2 linked regions of the Lytechinus pictus genome follow. The protein of the gene in region 1 purifies or fractionates together with the protein of each later gene. This does not show direct contact. Links are inferred from orthologs where the notes say so. Each region holds a gene or a part of one and is shown on either strand. Other genes may lie near its edges.

Region 1 (9,083 bases):
AATATGTTGCCTTGTGATATTTCTATTGTTGAAATTCATTGTGAATTTGTGATATGTGTCTGGGGGCAATTGTTACAAACATTATATTCAAATATAAATATATATAGGTCTATATATCATATATAGATTTCTATAGATATATATTATTTATATTATGTCATTCACTTCAATGTAATTCAAGTTTATTGTGTCAATTTTTTTTATTTTCTATGTTCCTTTATAATAGAAATAATTTAGTCTATTATTGTTATAATAATAATAACAATTTTATATACCGCAAAATCGCAAAATTGCCTCTAAGCGGTTAAGAGAAAGGAAAATGAAGTATAAAGGAAATAGAAGTACTTTGCACAACAAAATGTATCAAAACTAATATTACAATTTACAACTTTCTCACCAGATCATGAATAAAGAAATACCATCAAATGGGCCAATAAACATATGAAATGATCAATTTAAGATTTAAAAAGATGAGTTTTAAGCATAACTTTAAATGTATTAACACAGTTAGCATTGCGAATTTGTAGGGGGAGATTGTTCCAAAGAAATGAAGCTGCATAAGAGAACGAACGCTGACCGTATTGTTTGTAAGAAGTATGAGATCGAGAAAGAAGAGATTGAGAAGCTGAACGTAGAACTCGAACAGGCTGATATCGAGGAAGGAGTTCAGAAAGGTATGAAGGAGCTAGACCATGATATGACTTGAAAGCAAGAAGAAGAATTTTGTAAGTGATACGAGAAGTAATAGGTAGCCAGTGGAGTTATGATTAGGCCCTATTATTGTTATCACTATCCTTAATATTATCATTATTATCATTATTATTGTCATCAGTAGTATATGAAACAAAATCATTACTACTGTTACAACATTTGAAAGGGGTTGCATTTTTTAGCTTGTATGCCTTATTTAGTTTCATCAGGAATGCCTGCTTCTTGATTTATAATTCAGTGTGCTATTTTGTAGATTTCACAATATGTTTCAAACTTATTCTCTTTCTACCCTCTTTACCCCTAACTTTGCTATGAAAAAAAAAATTATTGGAACACAAATAAGTGTTGAGTCTGCCATTATGTCTTCCGCTTTTAAATCCATGATAAATCCACAAGTCCATTCAAACTGTATTTTGTTGTTTCACAAACTTTCTGGGATTCTCAAGGGAAAACAGCACTTCTCAGTGCAGTTGCTTCACAGAAGACTGCAAAAATAGATGAAAGGTATATTATGAGATAATTTTTATTCTCACTGGACACAGCATTGTCTGATCCAACATTTGAATACAAAGAAGAGACAAAAGTAGAAGATTGGCTAGAACACACAGGTTATTCTTTTGCAATCAAAATGTTACTTAAAAGATTCTCTGATGAACCTGCGACACTCGAGTACCAGGCATTTGAAGACATCATGCTGACCTACATGAAGTATTTAATTAGAAAATTATGACTTGCTTTCTGAGAATGAAAAGTTGTCATTGGGAAAGATATATAACTTCTTTTGTGGTCTACATGCACTTATCCACTTGGCTGAGGTATCATCAGCATCCCTTTGTGAACTCAACGAGGGTTTTTCGCTGAAGGAGCACCTGTCTTTGACAAGTCATTCAGGAAATCAACAGAATCTGGCACAACCAGGCTCGTCCGAACAGTCTGCAAAGTGATATCTTGGGGTGGTGATGAGAAGTCTGGCTGCCATGGTAGATTTTTGGAATATGCCAGGCTGTGGTTGAAGAGTCAACTTGGATACAACAAAGTTCCACTTGAGCAGTTTCGCGGAAATAGATTTAACATTCTATTTCAAAATGCGGTAGGGGTGGTTTTTTTTAGGTGGAGAACTCACCATTTTCTTAGAGAGTAACGCAGACAATAAGCTTCTCAAGGCTGTTCTTTATGATCTCAAGGTGGAAGAATACTTACATGTAGCAGGATGCAAAGCACTTGGATTGGTGTCGTACTTAGTCAAGATGCCCTTATGGAGATCAATAGAGGTTACAGAGATTCATCTCATGGACATTGGAGAGCGATATCAAACCATCATCGACTTCATCCAACATGCTAGTGAACATGTCAGGGATTTCATGAAAGGGTCATTGAGACTTCCATTTGCTGAACAACACTCTTTGGATAGTGACCCAATCTTCAAAGCTCTCATCAATGAAACACACATTTGAAGATAAGACTGAAGTTGTGTTATCAAAAATGCTGGTAACTATAGCAACTCTTTAAAAGAGAATATTTGCAGATCACCTAGAAGGTGGACGGTGGCATGGTGCAAGCGAGGAGGAACGTGAAAGAGCAAAAGGTCTTCCCAAACCCAATAAGTTCTCTGAAAGTGTGTTCGGACATCTTGACAGGCTGCTGAAGGAAAAACCAAATCTATCAACAGTTGCGGCAGAGGCCTACATTATGTTCTCACACAAACAGACACTTGCCTGGTTGAAGGGAAAGACTAAATCTGAAAAGGCACAACTCTTCTCTAAGGCTAGCAGAAATGTAGCTAAGCTTCAGAAAGCTTTCAAACAGAGACAAAAGCAGATATAACAGAGTCGTAGAGATGCAGCAGCAGAAAAAATGAAAGCTGCTGAGGAAGCAAAGGCAAAAGTTATTAAGTGGAAAGAGAAATTAACCGAAACATTGTCCTTTGGGGCCTGTGGCAAACGGAGCAATGTGTAGATGATGCCTTAAAATGTGCTCAAGACTAAATCAAACAAGAAGTGCAGAAGAAGTGCAGAAACAGAAACCACTAGACAGTGCTCTCAAAGATGTATATACCTTTTCCAAGAAAGATAAAAGAGGAAACAGTGTATGTATACACTGTGTATATATGTGTGTATGTATGTATACGATGCAGGGCCCAATATTTGCGTCCTTTCCGATGGACGGAGTGTTTTCCAACTGTATTCACACCTGCACTGATGACAGGATCACTCAGATGATTCCACTCAATAGTGGATGGGAAGAACGAGTTCCTGTATTGTTCAGTTCGTGCTCTGATTGGATTGTAGCACTTGTTATTATTTGTCACTTGCCTATCTATAATATTTGTAGTGTCACAGTTTTCCCTGGCTCCGTGGAGAGTAAGCATACGTTACTCGTTAGTGAATGATTTTTACTCTCTACGACTACGTTAACGTTAGCTTCCAAGCCTCCTGTCCTGGCATGCCTGGCTAGCCTAACGAGTAACATTAGTCCCCCTTATTCAATTTTTTTTCATACAAAATTTGGGCAAGAATTGAATCAAGTCACTGTTTCTTCCCCTTTTAAGTTTATTTTCCCCCATTTTGGTGCATTTCAGGCCAAAACGGAATAATTATCTTTATTTTTGGTACAGTTCTTTTTATATATTTTTATGAAATAAAGACAAAACTTGAAGAGCCCCATCGGGGGATTTTGCATTGTTAACTCCCTTATGGTGGCTGCACGATAGCGAGCCATCTGTGTACGAGGAGAAATTAAAATGTTAAAAAACTCCTCGAAACAGACGGCTGCCAGCTGTCGGAAAGAGTTCCATATGCATCCCCCACCAAAAATAACAAGATTGTTGAGAATTCCGGTTTATTCACCTCAGATTTTTCTATCATTTTTTTTAATGTTAATTACCGTAGTCGGGACTTGAACTCACCTCGTTTTATCTGCAGTCAAGGGGTATTTTAACGATTATCAGCCGATAGTCTAGACTCACAGACCCTTTACGGACTAAATAAACCAATGTCTATGCCATGGCATGGATTTAATTTTAATTACACGCACTAGGCCTACTCCTGCTCGAAACTTGACGGAATAAAGTAAAGCCATATTTTGATATGAATTTCCACTCCCCCATCATATATGTTCTATATTAGGGCCTATGGCTAGATATATTATTCTGAACCTTCTCCATGTTTTTATTTTCAATTTTAGTGGGGGTGCATATGGAACTCTTGCCCAGCTCAGCTGTCTAAGACTAAGCTACTCCTAGTACTTTGCCAAAGACGAGCTACGCCGCCAGGCACGGGGGGCAAGTGAGAGCCAATCCGGTTAATTCTGCTCAGAGAATCAAGCCGCAAATAACCCAAAATCTTACCTCACTACCAACGTTATTGATACTTACAAGACAACAAATTAGGGTTCATCATAGTAAATCTACACCTTAATAGACCTGTTCTAGAAATTGCTGCCATATAAGCCGGTAATTTGTTGAAAATTTTTGGCTTTACCAGAGACGCCATGGTTCTTCTTGGTCCGCTCTGTCCTGCTGCTAGCGATAGCTAGCATGCAATTAATCATATCATAGCATGGCTTGCGCTTGACCATTAACCGTACGTAGAGGGCAGCAACACTGGTCTAATATATTTCGTGACTTATTGGCGGAGCAAAATAATACAATTTTTCCTGGGGGGGGGGGAGAGAAGAGGAAATAAGAGTTTCCTCTCTAGCTCCCTCCGAGAGCTTACGTGTACGTCAGATCGTATCTCTGTGGTCTAATATTTCGTCTAATCAAAGTAATCGTGTAATTGCCATTTCCATAGGCGGCACAGTGAGCCACTGCAGTTTTTTCGCCCTTTTTTCGCCGTTTTGTGTGTTATAACCTATGGGAAATTCAAAGTTGCAGTTTTTTCGCCGTTTTGAAAACGGCTAGAAAAGGGCGAAGAAAGGGAGAATTTTTGGAGAAAAAACGGCCAAAAAACGGCTACATTAGGTTTCTTACGTAAATCTTGAATTATTATGGAGTGCCATCATTGTTCAATATTAGCGGAGCTATTGATTTCCCCATGAAAACGGCGAGAAAACGGCGAATGTTAAGGACGAGGATCCTGTTAGAGGCAGTGGCGTAACAGGCGGGGGGGCAGGGGGGGCAAGTTGCCCCCCCTGGCGGATTTCACCGGGAAAATAAAAAAAAAACGGGAAAAAAGAAAAGGGAGGGGGGAAGAAAGGGAAGGGGGAGGAAAAGGGAAAAGGAAAGGAGGAAAGGGGAAAAAACCGAAGAACTTATTATTTTGTTTAATGGAAAAGGAAGGAAAGCGGGAAAAGGAACGAAAGAAGAACATTTGAGAAAGAAAAAATCATTCCAAAGTAGGCCTAAGTAAATCAATAGCATGATGGGAAATAAATTTCAAGATGAAAAAGTGGCAAACAATAGCGGAAAATGAAGGTAGAATTAGTCAAAAGCTACATTGGAAAACAAAGAAGAACAAGAAAAAAAAAACACTTGATAACACGACCGGGCTGCCGAGGATTGATAAAAAAGAGCGGGAAGAAAGATGGACTGCATGCATACAACATTTTGCTATAAGCTAGCTAAATTTTATGCAAAAAAGCTACCAGGGCTTTGCCCCGCCGGACCCCACGCAGTAGGGGCTCCTCATTATAGGCCTAACATTCCAATGGCTCTATAACGCCCCCCTGTAGGGACCCTTCCTACATTAAGCTTTTCGTTCAATCACTGGCGTACAGGCGTGGCGGGGGGTCTTGGTTCCACAACCAAGGGGAAATAAAAGAAATATAGAAGACAAATTAATGAAACGAATGTAAATAATGAAATGTGTCATTTGCTGAATATAATGGGAAAATCTATCACATAATTTGAATTTAATTTCAATAGGCAATTTTTTTTTCAGCTCGCTTCGCTCGCTGGCGACTTTTTACAAATTTTCACACATCGCTATGCTTTGCCCCGTCAAAATATTTGGTTTATTACGCAACTGGGTTGAATAGATGTGTTGTGTAAAAGCTATATCCTATACCCGCGATATGATTAAAGATAGCGGCCATCTGCGGGGTTTAAATGGCTTTGATATCAAGAAGTTCCGGGGGCTCCGCCCAAGACCCCAACCGCATAGCACTGCCGTATATGAGTATGGAAGGGTTTAGCCATGGCCCCTAAAAGTTCTGCAACCAAAATAAGAGGAAAGAAAAGCACAGGATTCGAATCTACATAAGCTATGTAATATTATGATTTTATTTACTGAATATAATGTCAAAAAATATAGCAAAGTTAGATTCTCATGAAAAGACGATTTTTTTTCTCGCTCGCTTCGCTCGCTCGGGATTTATATTAAGCAGTTTTTTAGTACATGCACCATACTGCGCCCTTTTCTATTTTGGGTTTTTTTTTACTCTTCACGCTACTGCCGCAAAAATTCCTTTTCACAGTGGCGTACAGACCACAAAAAAGGAATGGAAAGAGAAAAGATTGAAATATATTCTCTGGATATCATGTCAAAATCTATCACAAAATTGAATTTTTGTATAAAAAATGTCAAAATTTTTGCTCGCTCGCTTCGCTCGCTCGCAACATTTTTGTTAAGGATAAATTCAGCCCGATACGCAATATCTGGCCCTCTCAAAATAGTCGCCTCATTACACCATAACGTCTGTTTATATCACCAAATCACACTTGTACGAGGTTATACGGTATGCTATATGACCGGGAAATTTTTGGCTCTTGCCCCCCCTGGCCACCGACCCCTGTTACGCCGCTGGTTAGAGGAGTGAAGATACTGAAAGAAAACGGCTAATAAACGGAGAGAAAAGGGCGAGAAAACGGAGACAAAAGGGCGAATGGGTAGTAAGGCGCGCGTTGCATAAAACGGAGAGAAAAGGCCGAGAAAACGGAGACAAAAGGGCTAATGGGTTTAATGCGTGCAGTGCATAAACGGAGAGAAAATTGTGAATGGGTCCCAAGGAGTGCATTCCATGAAACGGAGAGAAAATGGCGGGACAACGGAGAGAAAAGGGCAGATGAGTAGTAAGAGGTGAGAGCATGAAACAGAAAAAAAAAAGGTTAGAAAAAAAAAAAAAAGGGCGAATGGGTTGTACGAAGTGCATTGCATAAATCAGAGAAAAGGGGCGATAAAACTAAGACGAAATGGCGAATGAGTGAGAAGTGCATTGCATAAAATGGCAAAAAGAAATGTGAAAATGTGTGATATGCATTGAGAAAAAGCGACTAGAAAACGTAAAATATATATTTGCAATATTTCTACCAACTTAAGATTTTCTGAAGAACTCCTTTTGGAAATAAGCTCTAGTTTTCATTCATGGGTAATATTCAATAATAATTCTCATGTCATTCATGTAAAAAAAATTGTTATTTTACTTTCTGGGGGGGTTACGCCTTCTTTCATAAATCTTATTTACATATTGTATAGGCCTACTACATTCATTGTTTTATTTCAACATTTTTTATATTTCATGTGGAATTTGATAAAATGTCAATCAGATGAAAATAAAATTTAATTGAATTGGATTGAAACTTCTTTGAATACTTTATTCTTTACTCTTATTTTCCCTTCTTCATGGGCGGGAACCCGAGGGGGACGTGTCCCTCACTCTTTGGAAAGGGGGATGCTTAATAAAATCCCCCGCGGGTACAGTAACAGGGAGGGGGCAGGCCCCCCTGAGATTTGGTGTGCCCCCCAGGTGCCCCCCTGAAAAAAATTGGCAGAGCAAACAAAAGGAGAAAGAAGAAAGGAAAAAGACGGAGAAAGTCAGAAAAAAGTAGAGGAGGAAGACGACTAAATAAAATAAACAGGTCTACCAGCATTCAAAGAGGCTGCGCTTCCCATCATTATAAATTTGCAGCCTCCAACCGGATCTCTTGTTCTTTAAGATGTATCCAGGTTTTTACTTGCACATCGCACTAGAGATCTTCACTATATGACACCAATCTTTCACGACATTTTGCAAAGTTCATTCCAGTTTAGCTTTTTGGAGCTGCAAGAGGAATTATCGTATCAAGTATCAAGTATGTGAGGGGAAGACTTAATTGCAAAAAAAAAAAATCTTTCATGTTACTATATAATATTTTCGCTTGCGCTTCGGGCCGAATTGCCTGTTCGATGAGATTCATATCTTGCTCAACAGGCTGATATGGGGCTTAAAATGGCAAGTTTTGAAGTCAATATACAAAACATATTTCAGCTCGAACATCGAGCTTTTATAAAAATTTTTCATTTATAAATGGGTGCTGCAGCTGATGTCCGTTTTATGGTCTACATATCAACATTTTAAGCTCAAACTGCGTGGTCGCATTATTCGATTTGCCAAATTCCTGACTTGTCTTCGTGTATTCCATAACATTCTCAAAATATCAATTTTCAGATGGGATTGTCAAACGTAGGCCTATAAGTTAGCGCTTCACGCTCGCAGTATTAACGATACCATTTCCTATTCATGATTTACAAAATATGAAGTGTCCCGCTTTTAGGTCTAAAATCTCAATTTTGTTCCTCTCGCGCTTCGCGCTCGCATCAGTTGTTTAGTTACATACCTATCCCATTTATGATTACAAAAAGTGCTTATAGAATTACAATTTTTTAGGTCGGAATGTCAACAATTTTTAGCTCGCGCTTCGCGCTCCCATTATTGAAATATGTACCGTCTTCGTGGAGGGGTGGGGAGGATGACTGAAATATTTTGGCATATTTTTTGCAATCATGTTTTTAGATATGCAAGGAATTGTAATTGATATGTCCACAGTGGCGTACCGTGGGTCACGGCATTGTGGGGGCCCCAGCAAAATTTTTGAATCACTGAGTGAGCGCTCAGTTGCTAGTTATTCTAACCTAATAGAGACATTTTAAGGACAATGTCATTGAACGGATATGTATCTCACTGATCAAATAATGCGAGCGCGAAGCGCGAGCTGATTTTTTTTAATATTCACACCTAAAAAGGGACATTATAATCAAATTTGCGTAATCATGATTGTTACCTGTCTCGCTAAACAATGCGAGCGCGAAGCGCGAGCTGAAATTTTCGTATATTTTGACCCCAAACAGCGAGATTTTAAGGAATATATTTTAGGAATCCATTAAGAGTATGCATATCTCACCATAGTCATCTAATGCGAGTGCCAAGCGCTTGCTGATCTTATTAGAATTACATCTGAACACATGAAACACTTTTTGTAGTCATTGCAATCATGATTATAATACGCATCTCACTAATCAAATATTGCGAGCGTGAAGCGCGAGCAGATAATGTAGATAAGTTAGATAATTCAGACCTGAAGTGGGGCATTCTAAGGTTTCTTTGTAGGAATTAACTTGGACCATACGTATTTCATTAACAAAATGATGCGAGTGCGAAGCGCGAGCTGAAAATTA
Region 2 (9,226 bases), on another chromosome or scaffold:
GTTTCCCAGATCGATTGTACATAATACAGTCAATATCTTTTGGCGGCCATTTTGAAAGTCAAAATACAATATTTAACACAATTATGAAACCCGAATAATATATTTCGTTGCAAATTATATTTGAAGACAGTATTCCACTAATTTACCACAAAAAAATACGTTTTAGTGCTCACCTTGTGATTGTTTTTGTCCTCTCTCACATCGTAGATCATAATTTTAGGGCCTTTGGTGGTCATATTAAATATCAAAATACAGGGTTTATCACATACATGGCATGTTAAATAATACATTTCGTTAACAATAATGTTTTTAGTCAGTATTCCACTCGTTTATCTCAACAAAATGCATTTTAGTGCTCACTCTTGTGATTTTTTTTGTGTCACCATTCACATTGTACATAATAGTATTAGGGCTTTTGAAGGCCATTTTGAATATCAAAATACAGGATTTATCACATAACTGACATAACAAATGATATATATCGTTAGCAATCATGTTTACAGACATTGCTTCACTCATAGATCATAATTACTTGCATTTCAGTGCTCAATTTTGTAAAAATTAATTTTCCCCATTCATATTGTACAGGGGTCTATGATGGCGGCCATTTTGATATCAAGAAAATAAATATTTTGACAAAAATCATTTTTTTCAGATATTATTTCACTCCGGCAGCACAATTGCATGTACTTTAAAGCCAATGTGGGGACAATTTTATGATTTTCATGGGTAATTTGAATATTTTGGCGGCCATATTGGATTTTGCCAATTTGCAGAAAATGCTCAAGGTTACACGAGTGGCATCATTCAGATTCGGAATCAGCACCCTCGAATTGACAAGAAACCATAAAAAAACATTGTATATATAAAAAAACAAGGTTCGACCCCTTCTATCCTGGACTAATTTTCACATACCCGCGAATTAAAATGAGAAATTCCAACATTCGCGTTTTGAGAAGAAGTGAGTTCACCAAACAGCTTTCAACTCTGTTGGAACCACAGACGGGGAGGGCAAAAAGAAAAATGGGTAAAATCGATTTCTTTAAAAAGGGAACGAAGAATGAAGATGAGTATTGAAAACATTTTTGTTGCCATTGTCATTAGCAGAACGTGTTAGTAGTATAAGTGGTAGTAGTAGTAGTAGTAGTAGTAGAAGTAGTAGTATCATTATAATAATAATAATTATTATTATTATCATTATTATTATTACTATTGTTATCATCATCACCATCATCATTACCATCATCATCATTATCTTCATTTTTCATTTAATTTGATTTTCTTTTTCACCAAAAGAAATATAAAAGTACAGTAACAGATGAAATGTTTAAGTATACTTTGTAGGTGCATCTTGTAGATAAATTTCTGAGTAGACTTTTTGAGTCAAAGAATCGAAATATTGCAGCTCGGGCTCCCCGCCCGATTTGTCCATTTCGTGAGATACGTGGCTATTCATGTTTATAAATTTCTGCAAATAGTCCTCTAAAAATTAATTTTCAGGTTAATAAATTACGCTCGGGCTTCGCGCTCGCATGAAATATTTAGCGAGAAATCATGATATAAATCTCTGGCTTCATGTTTGCGATTGAAATGTTTTATATTATGTCTACCTTTCTCAGGCCATATCACAAATTCATCTCGCGCTTCGCTCTTGCATTAATGGGGGCCTATCATGTTCACGAATTTCAAGTCGTACCGTACTGCTTTTATATTCTTTCCGACGGGCCTATATTAAACTGCATGTTTCTAAAATAAGAATAAGAAACATGAGAAATTAACAACGATATATTGATTCTGAGCTTGTTTCAATGAGGCACATATTCCTATTTATGGACCTTGATTTTAATGCAAATTACTTGATTAGTTTGTTTTTTCATAGTGTTTACACACAGTTACCGTGGGTCACGGCATTGGAGGCACGAGCTAAAATTTTAAGTCGCCACTTATTGCAACTATAGACCTTGTTAACGATTAACGCGAGCCTTCTTTTGATGCAATCATGGGTGTCGATCGGTATTCTTGGTTGGGGGGATGATTGACACAAATGTTCTTGTGGATGGGGATCTTTCAACATTACCCCCACTAAAATCACAAGTTAGGACATTTGGGAGTGGTTGATATGCATGGTGTTCTTGCAGTGGCGTACCGTGAGTCACGGCATTGGGGGGCACCAGCAAAATTTTTGAGTCACTTAGTGAGCGCGCGAAGCGCGCTCAGTTGCCAGGTATACTGACCTAATAGGGACATTTTAAGGACAGTGCCATTAAACGGATATGTATCTCACTGCTCAAATAAAGCGAGCGTGAAGCGCGGGCTGAAAATTTTTGATATGCAGACCAAAAAGGACATTATAAGCAAATTTTTGTAATCATGATACATACCTGTCTCGCTAAACAAACAATGCGAGCGCGAAGCGCGAGCTGAAATTTTTGTAAATATTGACCCCAAACAATTATGGAATCCATTAAGAGTATACATATCTCACCATAGTCATCTAATGCGAGTGCAAAGCGCTTGCTGATTTTGCTACATCTAAACACATGAAGCACTTTTTGTAGTCATTGTAATCATGATAATACGCATGTCACTCATCAATATTGCGAGCGCGAGCTGAAAATTTAGGATATTCAGACCTGAAGAGAGGCATTCTAAGGCCTATTTGTAAGAATTCACTAAGACCATACGATACATATTTCACTGAACAAATGATGCGAGCGCGAAGCGCGAGCTGAAAATTTTTGATATTCAGATCAGAAAAAGGGACATTTTAAGGCTTATTATATTCACTCGCGTTCGTAATCACTCGCGTCGGGTTGGTAATCACACGCGTTTTTTATTTTTGGCGATTTTTTTTTTTTCGGTGCGATTTTTTTTCTAACGGTGTTTTCAATGAGACAAACGTACTGGAAAAATAAAATGAAATTGAAATTCGAGTTTCGTTTTATTTTAAGCTGGTAAGTGCCTTAAATAAAACGTTCTCGACCACTGTTTTAAGATAACAAGCAAATTTTGACTACTGTTTTAACATAATCACATTCCACATCTTAAATCTTAGAGCCATAGGCGGCGGAAGCGGGGGGGGGGCTCCCCCTAAAAAAAGAGAGAGGGGGGGGAGAAAGGAAGGGAAAGAGGGAGAAAAGAGAAAGAAAGAAAAAAGACAGACAGAAAGAAAGAAGCAAGGAAAAAAGGAGAAAGAAAGGAGAAAAGGAATAAAGAAGAAAAAGGAGGAAAGGCTACTCTCGATTTAGCTTTGCCTTTGGAGGATTTTCCTGAAGTCTGTGGTATTCTTTATAAAGCATAGTGAGGTGCTACAATTTCATAATATCACTATTTATTTGCTTCTTCCTTTCTTTGTGAATTATTCTACACTAACGTAAAAATCAGGGAGGAAAAAGTGCTGAAGAAGAAAAGCAAGAAGGAGGAGGAGAAGTAGAAGAAGAAAAAAGAAGATGGAGGACATAAGGGGGTAAAAATAAAATTAAAAAGAGAAAATTGAGGGGAGGATGTAGAAGAAGAGAAAGAGAAGATAAAATAAGGGGAAGACTGAGAAGAGAAAAGGAAGAAGTGAGAAGGGAGATGAACAATAAGGACAAATACAGAGAAATAAAAAAAAACAAATACAGAGAAATACAGAGAAATTTAAAAGAACAAATACAGAGAAATTAAAAAAAAAATTAAAAATGTTTGAAAAAAACTCCTCAAAACAGACTGCTGCCAGCTGTCTGGGGCGGATCAAGCTTGTTATCTATTCTTGGTACTTAAAACAGTAGTCGAGTACATTTTATTTCAAGGCACTTAATTGCCGGCTTAAAACGAAACTCAAATTTCCCTGCATGTCTGTTTCATTGAAGACACCGTGAAAAAAAAATCGCACCGAAATAAAAAAAAATCGCCAAAAATCCAAAACGCGAGTGATTACGAACCAGAACGCGACGCGAGTGATTATAAACTGCCCATTTGAAGGACTGAATTTTAGGAATTCATGAAGAGCAGACATTTCTCACCAATCTACTAGTGCGAACGTAAGCACGGACAGGAAATGTTTTATATTAACACCTTAAAATGGGGCAATCACTTTAAGTAGTCATGAAAAAGAACCATATGTCACTACATCAAACAATAATAAGTCGAAGTGCGAGGAAATATATGTGGTGTATATTGACTTAAAAACGTTAAACAGACAATGTGAGTACCGGGAACAATAAAGACATCTAGGCCTGAGCAAAATAAAGTTATGAAAAATGTTTCTTATGTATTATAACATAACATTCTTAATTATTATAATATAACATTATAATGAACAATAATTTCTTCATTCCCACTACGTTTCTCTTCCTTTCTCCCTCTTTTTCTCATCTTCCCAGTTTTTTTTCTGGCCAGCCGATTGGGGGGCACGTGCCCCCCCCATGCCCCCCCCCCCCCGTAGTTACGCCACTGTGTTCTTGGAAATTCCTTTATTGTTGCAGTGTACTGTACTTATATAATTTTTTTGAAAATTCAATTTGTGTTACAAGTAAGCCTATTCTAAACTCATATACGAAAGATAAAATGACAAAAATCGTCTGGACCATGTACAAAGTGATCTGTTTATTGAGCATGATGTATACAACTTCTCTCTTAAATCTAACCCGTCTGGCAATATCTTTTTTCTTCTTAATGCATGATGATAAAATGCAGAATGATAAAATGCAGATTCGGACAAATTAAGACTAGCACAAATTACAAACTGTGTGGCTTCTCGTGCGCCATCGGGCTTACCGTCAATCCTTAGACGATTTAACATGTTTTAAATGCTTTATAAGTGCATGAAACAAAAACAAACGTAAAAACAATAAAAACTCAACTGTCATGTTATGATATTTCTCCAACATTTTCTTGAACCATCAGTGTGTAATATCAGCTAATATATGTGTTAAAATGAAATTTACGTACCGCATGAGTGTGCTCATATAGAATGCAAAACTGTCATCCCTTTCCAAACTCGAAAGAGATTTTTTTTTTTGCCAAATTAAGAAAAAATCAATCAAGTTTAGTTATTCAAATCCATAACAACAACAAGAATAACATGAAAAAAAAAATCCGATGTTCATATCCGAAGATACGCTTTAGAGAGAAATGAATGATTATTCTTTCTGAAACCATTAATTGATTTCACTTATTAAATTGTTAAAATATGATCATATTACCACTGGTGGGATGGAACACCCTATCAACAAAAGTTGTTTGTCGTCGGGGTCCTTTTATGTCATGTGTTAAAAAATATCATATACATAAACATTTCATTCTTTTTCATCTTGAACCTCCACCCATCTGTATAAAAGTCCTGGAAAAGAACGTTTTTATTTAATATCAATATACACAAATTGCGAGGGAAACAAAATGATTGATAGCATACTATAATCATCACTATAATCATCATGATCAAACTTTTCATTTTTTCATCATCATTATTATAAATTTTCTACCCTAAATTATTGGGGGGGATATATCCCCCCATCCCCCCGTGATCGACACCCATGGATGCAATCATAGTCGCCGTGTTCTTATTATATGCATTTTAATGAGAACATACAGGTGTTTTGACAATTAGGCGTATCTGATCACTAACAAAGGTTTTTTCCTAGTCTTTTGCGTTTGCTGGCCATGTTGACTGATGTCCTGTATCCCGTTTATGTTTTTCCTTTCACCGTGTTAGATCTACTTCTGGGTTGGATTTCATTTTCCTGAGAATCGTTAGGGACACCGTAGAAAATGTGTTTCGCAAGGTATTTGGATAAGTTGTTTTTAATAAAATGGCTAATAATATGCTGAATTATCGATTTCTACAAGTAGTTCGCGTACCATGTGTGCATCGTATGATTAAGAGCTCATCATCTTTTCTTCCAGAAGTATTAGGTAAGAAAAATATGCTTAAATCGAACGGCTGCCGCTTTGGCCTGGCAATGCGGGTCGGCCGTCGGCCAACCTGGCACTTCCTTGCTGGTGCGGTCGCGGTGCGGCGCTAGCTTGCTCGCTTGTCCGTAGCCGTGGCGTGGCCGAGGTCATAGACATAGTGCCCTGCCATCCCCCAGACCCAGTCAGTGGCAGTTCAGTGGTTGATTGATAAGCAAGGCGAAATTTGCCATCAGTCATCAAAACCTGATAACCAAAATTAATAAACTATTTCGGTATATTCTGCAGTGCAGTGCTGCATGCTAAACTTAATAATTTTGCAAATAAAAATAAAATAGATCCAAAAATTCCAACTGTTAGGCCCAGGCCACTCATGGGATCAATGCATCTCGGGTGCGAAGGATTCATATGCACCTGGTGCACGCGAATTTTTCACACCCTTTTTACTAAAATAACTATGCCATTCCTTTTAAAATAATGTTTCTAATTGTGCTATGACACTTACCGAACCATATGGATCGTTTCTTGACTTCTCTTTGGTGTGTTTTTAAGAAAAAAAAGCATTTTCTCGTGATCTTCACGTAGATACCGCAGGGTCATCGTGGTTGTAAACTTTTGCTTGAAGAGGGCGCGCGATATTATTCACAAGATGTTTGTTTACGGTTCTGCAGCTTGTACTACTAGCTGCATTTTAGACACTCAGCATTATTTTCCTCTTTCTTTTTTTTTTTTTGCTGTCAAGCGGTATTTTCTATTGTAGCGCCATCAGCGATGATGAAAATAATGTAAAGAGTCGCCTTGAAATGAAGAAAAATTATGTCACATTAATTCGTTAGTTTGTTTCCTATTTTTTTGCACTTTTTTCTTCTTCCTCATCTATGATCAAAGGTGAATACCTTTTTTTGATATCTGTTCTAAAAGCTGGACATTTTAAATATTTTGTTCAAGTAAATAAATCAACAGAATAGTAATCAAAATGCGATAGAGCTGCCCGAGCTGAAAATTCTGATACAAGGACTTGAAAATAAAACATTCTGAGCACTTTTTATAACCATGATGAGGAGACCTATATATATATATATATATATATATATATATATATATTTATATATATATATATATGTATATGAAATAAGCTAACACGAGAAAAAGACGTTTTGGGGACTGTTAAATAAGAATTCATGAGTGGGATAGGTAACTATCTATTCTATTCTTGTTCGTTTTCTATTATTATTTGTGTGTTGTGTTTATTTTTCTTGAAGCACCAAAAGGTGGACATGTCCGCTAAGATATATTAACGAAGTCACCATTATTATCACAAGCTAACGGATCAAAATGCGAGCGTGAAACGTGAGCTTCTTTTTTTCTTAATTCAGTCTTAACGATACTTTTTCATCATATTTTAAAGGTGAATCTCATGATTCAAAATGATAAATGCTTGTCGCACGGGCAGAAATAGCGGGACCAATAGTTATTTTCAATATTCCGAACTGCATTCTGGACGTTGTATAAGCGCCTTTGTATAACAATTAAAAGGGTAGGCCTATTTACCTTACAAATTATGCGAGCGCTGAACTTTTGGACATTTAAACCTCAACAAATGGACATTTGTAAAATATGAACAACATCATAAATGTCACTTACAAAAATGATGCCAGCGCGAAGCTCGCGCTTAGAGTTTTTGATATTGATGACAGGACTGTATCTAAATGAAAAATAATGCGAGGGCATTTGCGCTTAAGATTTAAATTTGGGATTTGAAAAGTCCGACAGATTACCTATACTTTTAAAAGAGGAATGACCTCCAGAATTCAAGCGCGAAGCGCCAGTAGATTTATGTTGAAGTTTAGACCTAGAACAGGGACGTTGAACCTTTATAATCATGAAAAAGATGGTATTTTTACAAATAAAACATGGGAGTCTAATTTTGTTTTAGTGTTAATATTCAGATCTTCAAACTTGACATTTTCCTATCCCCTTCATCATCCCCTCTCCTTCTCCCTTTCCCCATTTTCGTTCTCCCTTCTTTTCTTCTCTCCCTTTCCCTTCCCTTTTTCGCTTTTCCTTTCCCTTCTTTTCTTTCCTTTCTCCCTCCCCTACTCTTTTCTCGCTCTTTCCATTTTTCTTTCCCTCTCCCTTCCCCTCTTCCTTTCTTTTGTTTTCTTTCTATTTTATGGTCTCCTTTTCCCTCTCTCTCCTCTACCTTTCCCCCTCCCCTGATCTGTCTTTTATTGTCTCTCCTTCCCTTTCCCGCCCCCTCCATTCCCTTTCTCGCTTTTTCCTTTCTCTTCTTTTGTTTCCTTTCTCCCTCCCCTACTCTTTTCTCGCTCTTTCCATTTTTCTTTCTCTCTCCCTTCCCCTCTTCCTTTCCTTTGTTTTCTTTCTATTTTATGGTCTCCTTTTCCCCCTCTCTCCTCTACCTTTCCCCCTCCCCTTTTCCTTTCCCTTTCCCTCTCCTTTTTTGTGCAAACATTAACACGAATATCTTGCTTCCTACACACACACACAAATGCCCGCAATCTAACACACGTAATGCGAAACAATCGGGACATTATCATTTTGTTCATATATATATATGTATATTTTCTCAATGAACATTTTCATCTATTTAAAGCTTTGAAAATTATTAAACAATGATTCCATAGGCGAAATCTCAATGATCATTAGGAAGGTACTTTACCCATTTTCATTTTATGTCATTGTGATTATTCCATACTAAGGCAACATATTTTGGATATAAAAATATGTGAAGGATATGTTCCTCTTCTGTTTTATACTTTAACAGAAAACATTTTGTTCAACCAAATTATGATTTGTATTTCCAAGTTCCATGTAATATTTTCATTGGAAAATCTCTTAAAGGTCAAGTGCACCCCAGAAAAAATTGTTTGAATAAATAGAGAACTATGTTGATTTTTGGTACAATTTCCTATTATGCGCCGACGACTTGAATCGAGAATGTTCGATAGGAAAATTTCGCATTTCGATTGTTGTTTGCGTAATTTCCACCGCAGTACGAAGGATGACTAAGGACGGACCGAGCGAAGTATCCTGGTTGAGATTTGGAGGTAAGCGATAAAAACACTTTAATAAATAATTTATAATTTCTTTTTCAAATAAACTTAAACCATACGATCAAGATTAACATAGTGGACAAATATTGAAAGGTTTGGCGTAGTTTAGTCCCTCACATTCGTGTGATGAATGAAAACGTCAAAATGCACTATGAAATCACATGTGTTGTGCGAGGTTAGTATACTAACCTCGCATGTTGTGTGAGTGAGGCCCAGGCCAGGGTGACCAGATTTTACAAAATGAAATACGGGACAATTGA

What was found.
Region 2: the proteins of small ribosomal subunit protein mS27-like (region 1) and nitric oxide-associated protein 1-like purify together in Homo sapiens (co-immunoprecipitation; 3 studies listed by BioGRID and IntAct, counting the BioPlex papers as one, with this or other methods). This does not show direct contact. The link is inferred for Lytechinus pictus from reciprocal best matches to the Homo sapiens genes MRPS27 and NOA1.

What each region holds. Positions count from the first base shown.
Region 1 is NC_087249.1:14,653,194-14,662,276, forward strand, and holds the start of small ribosomal subunit protein mS27-like, read right to left. Parts: upstream 4,203-9,083; coding exon 4,085-4,202; intron 1-4,084. UniProt on the Homo sapiens protein: RNA-binding component of the mitochondrial small ribosomal subunit (mt-SSU) that plays a role in mitochondrial protein synthesis. Stimulates mitochondrial mRNA translation of subunit components of the mitochondrial electron transport chain.
Region 2 is NC_087256.1:9,378,746-9,387,971, reverse strand, and holds the start of nitric oxide-associated protein 1-like, read left to right. Parts: upstream 1-5,712; 5' UTR 5,713-5,792; coding exon 5,793-5,895; intron 5,896-9,226. UniProt on the Homo sapiens protein: Involved in regulation of mitochondrial protein translation and respiration. Plays a role in mitochondria-mediated cell death. May act as a scaffolding protein or stabilizer of respiratory chain supercomplexes. Binds GTP.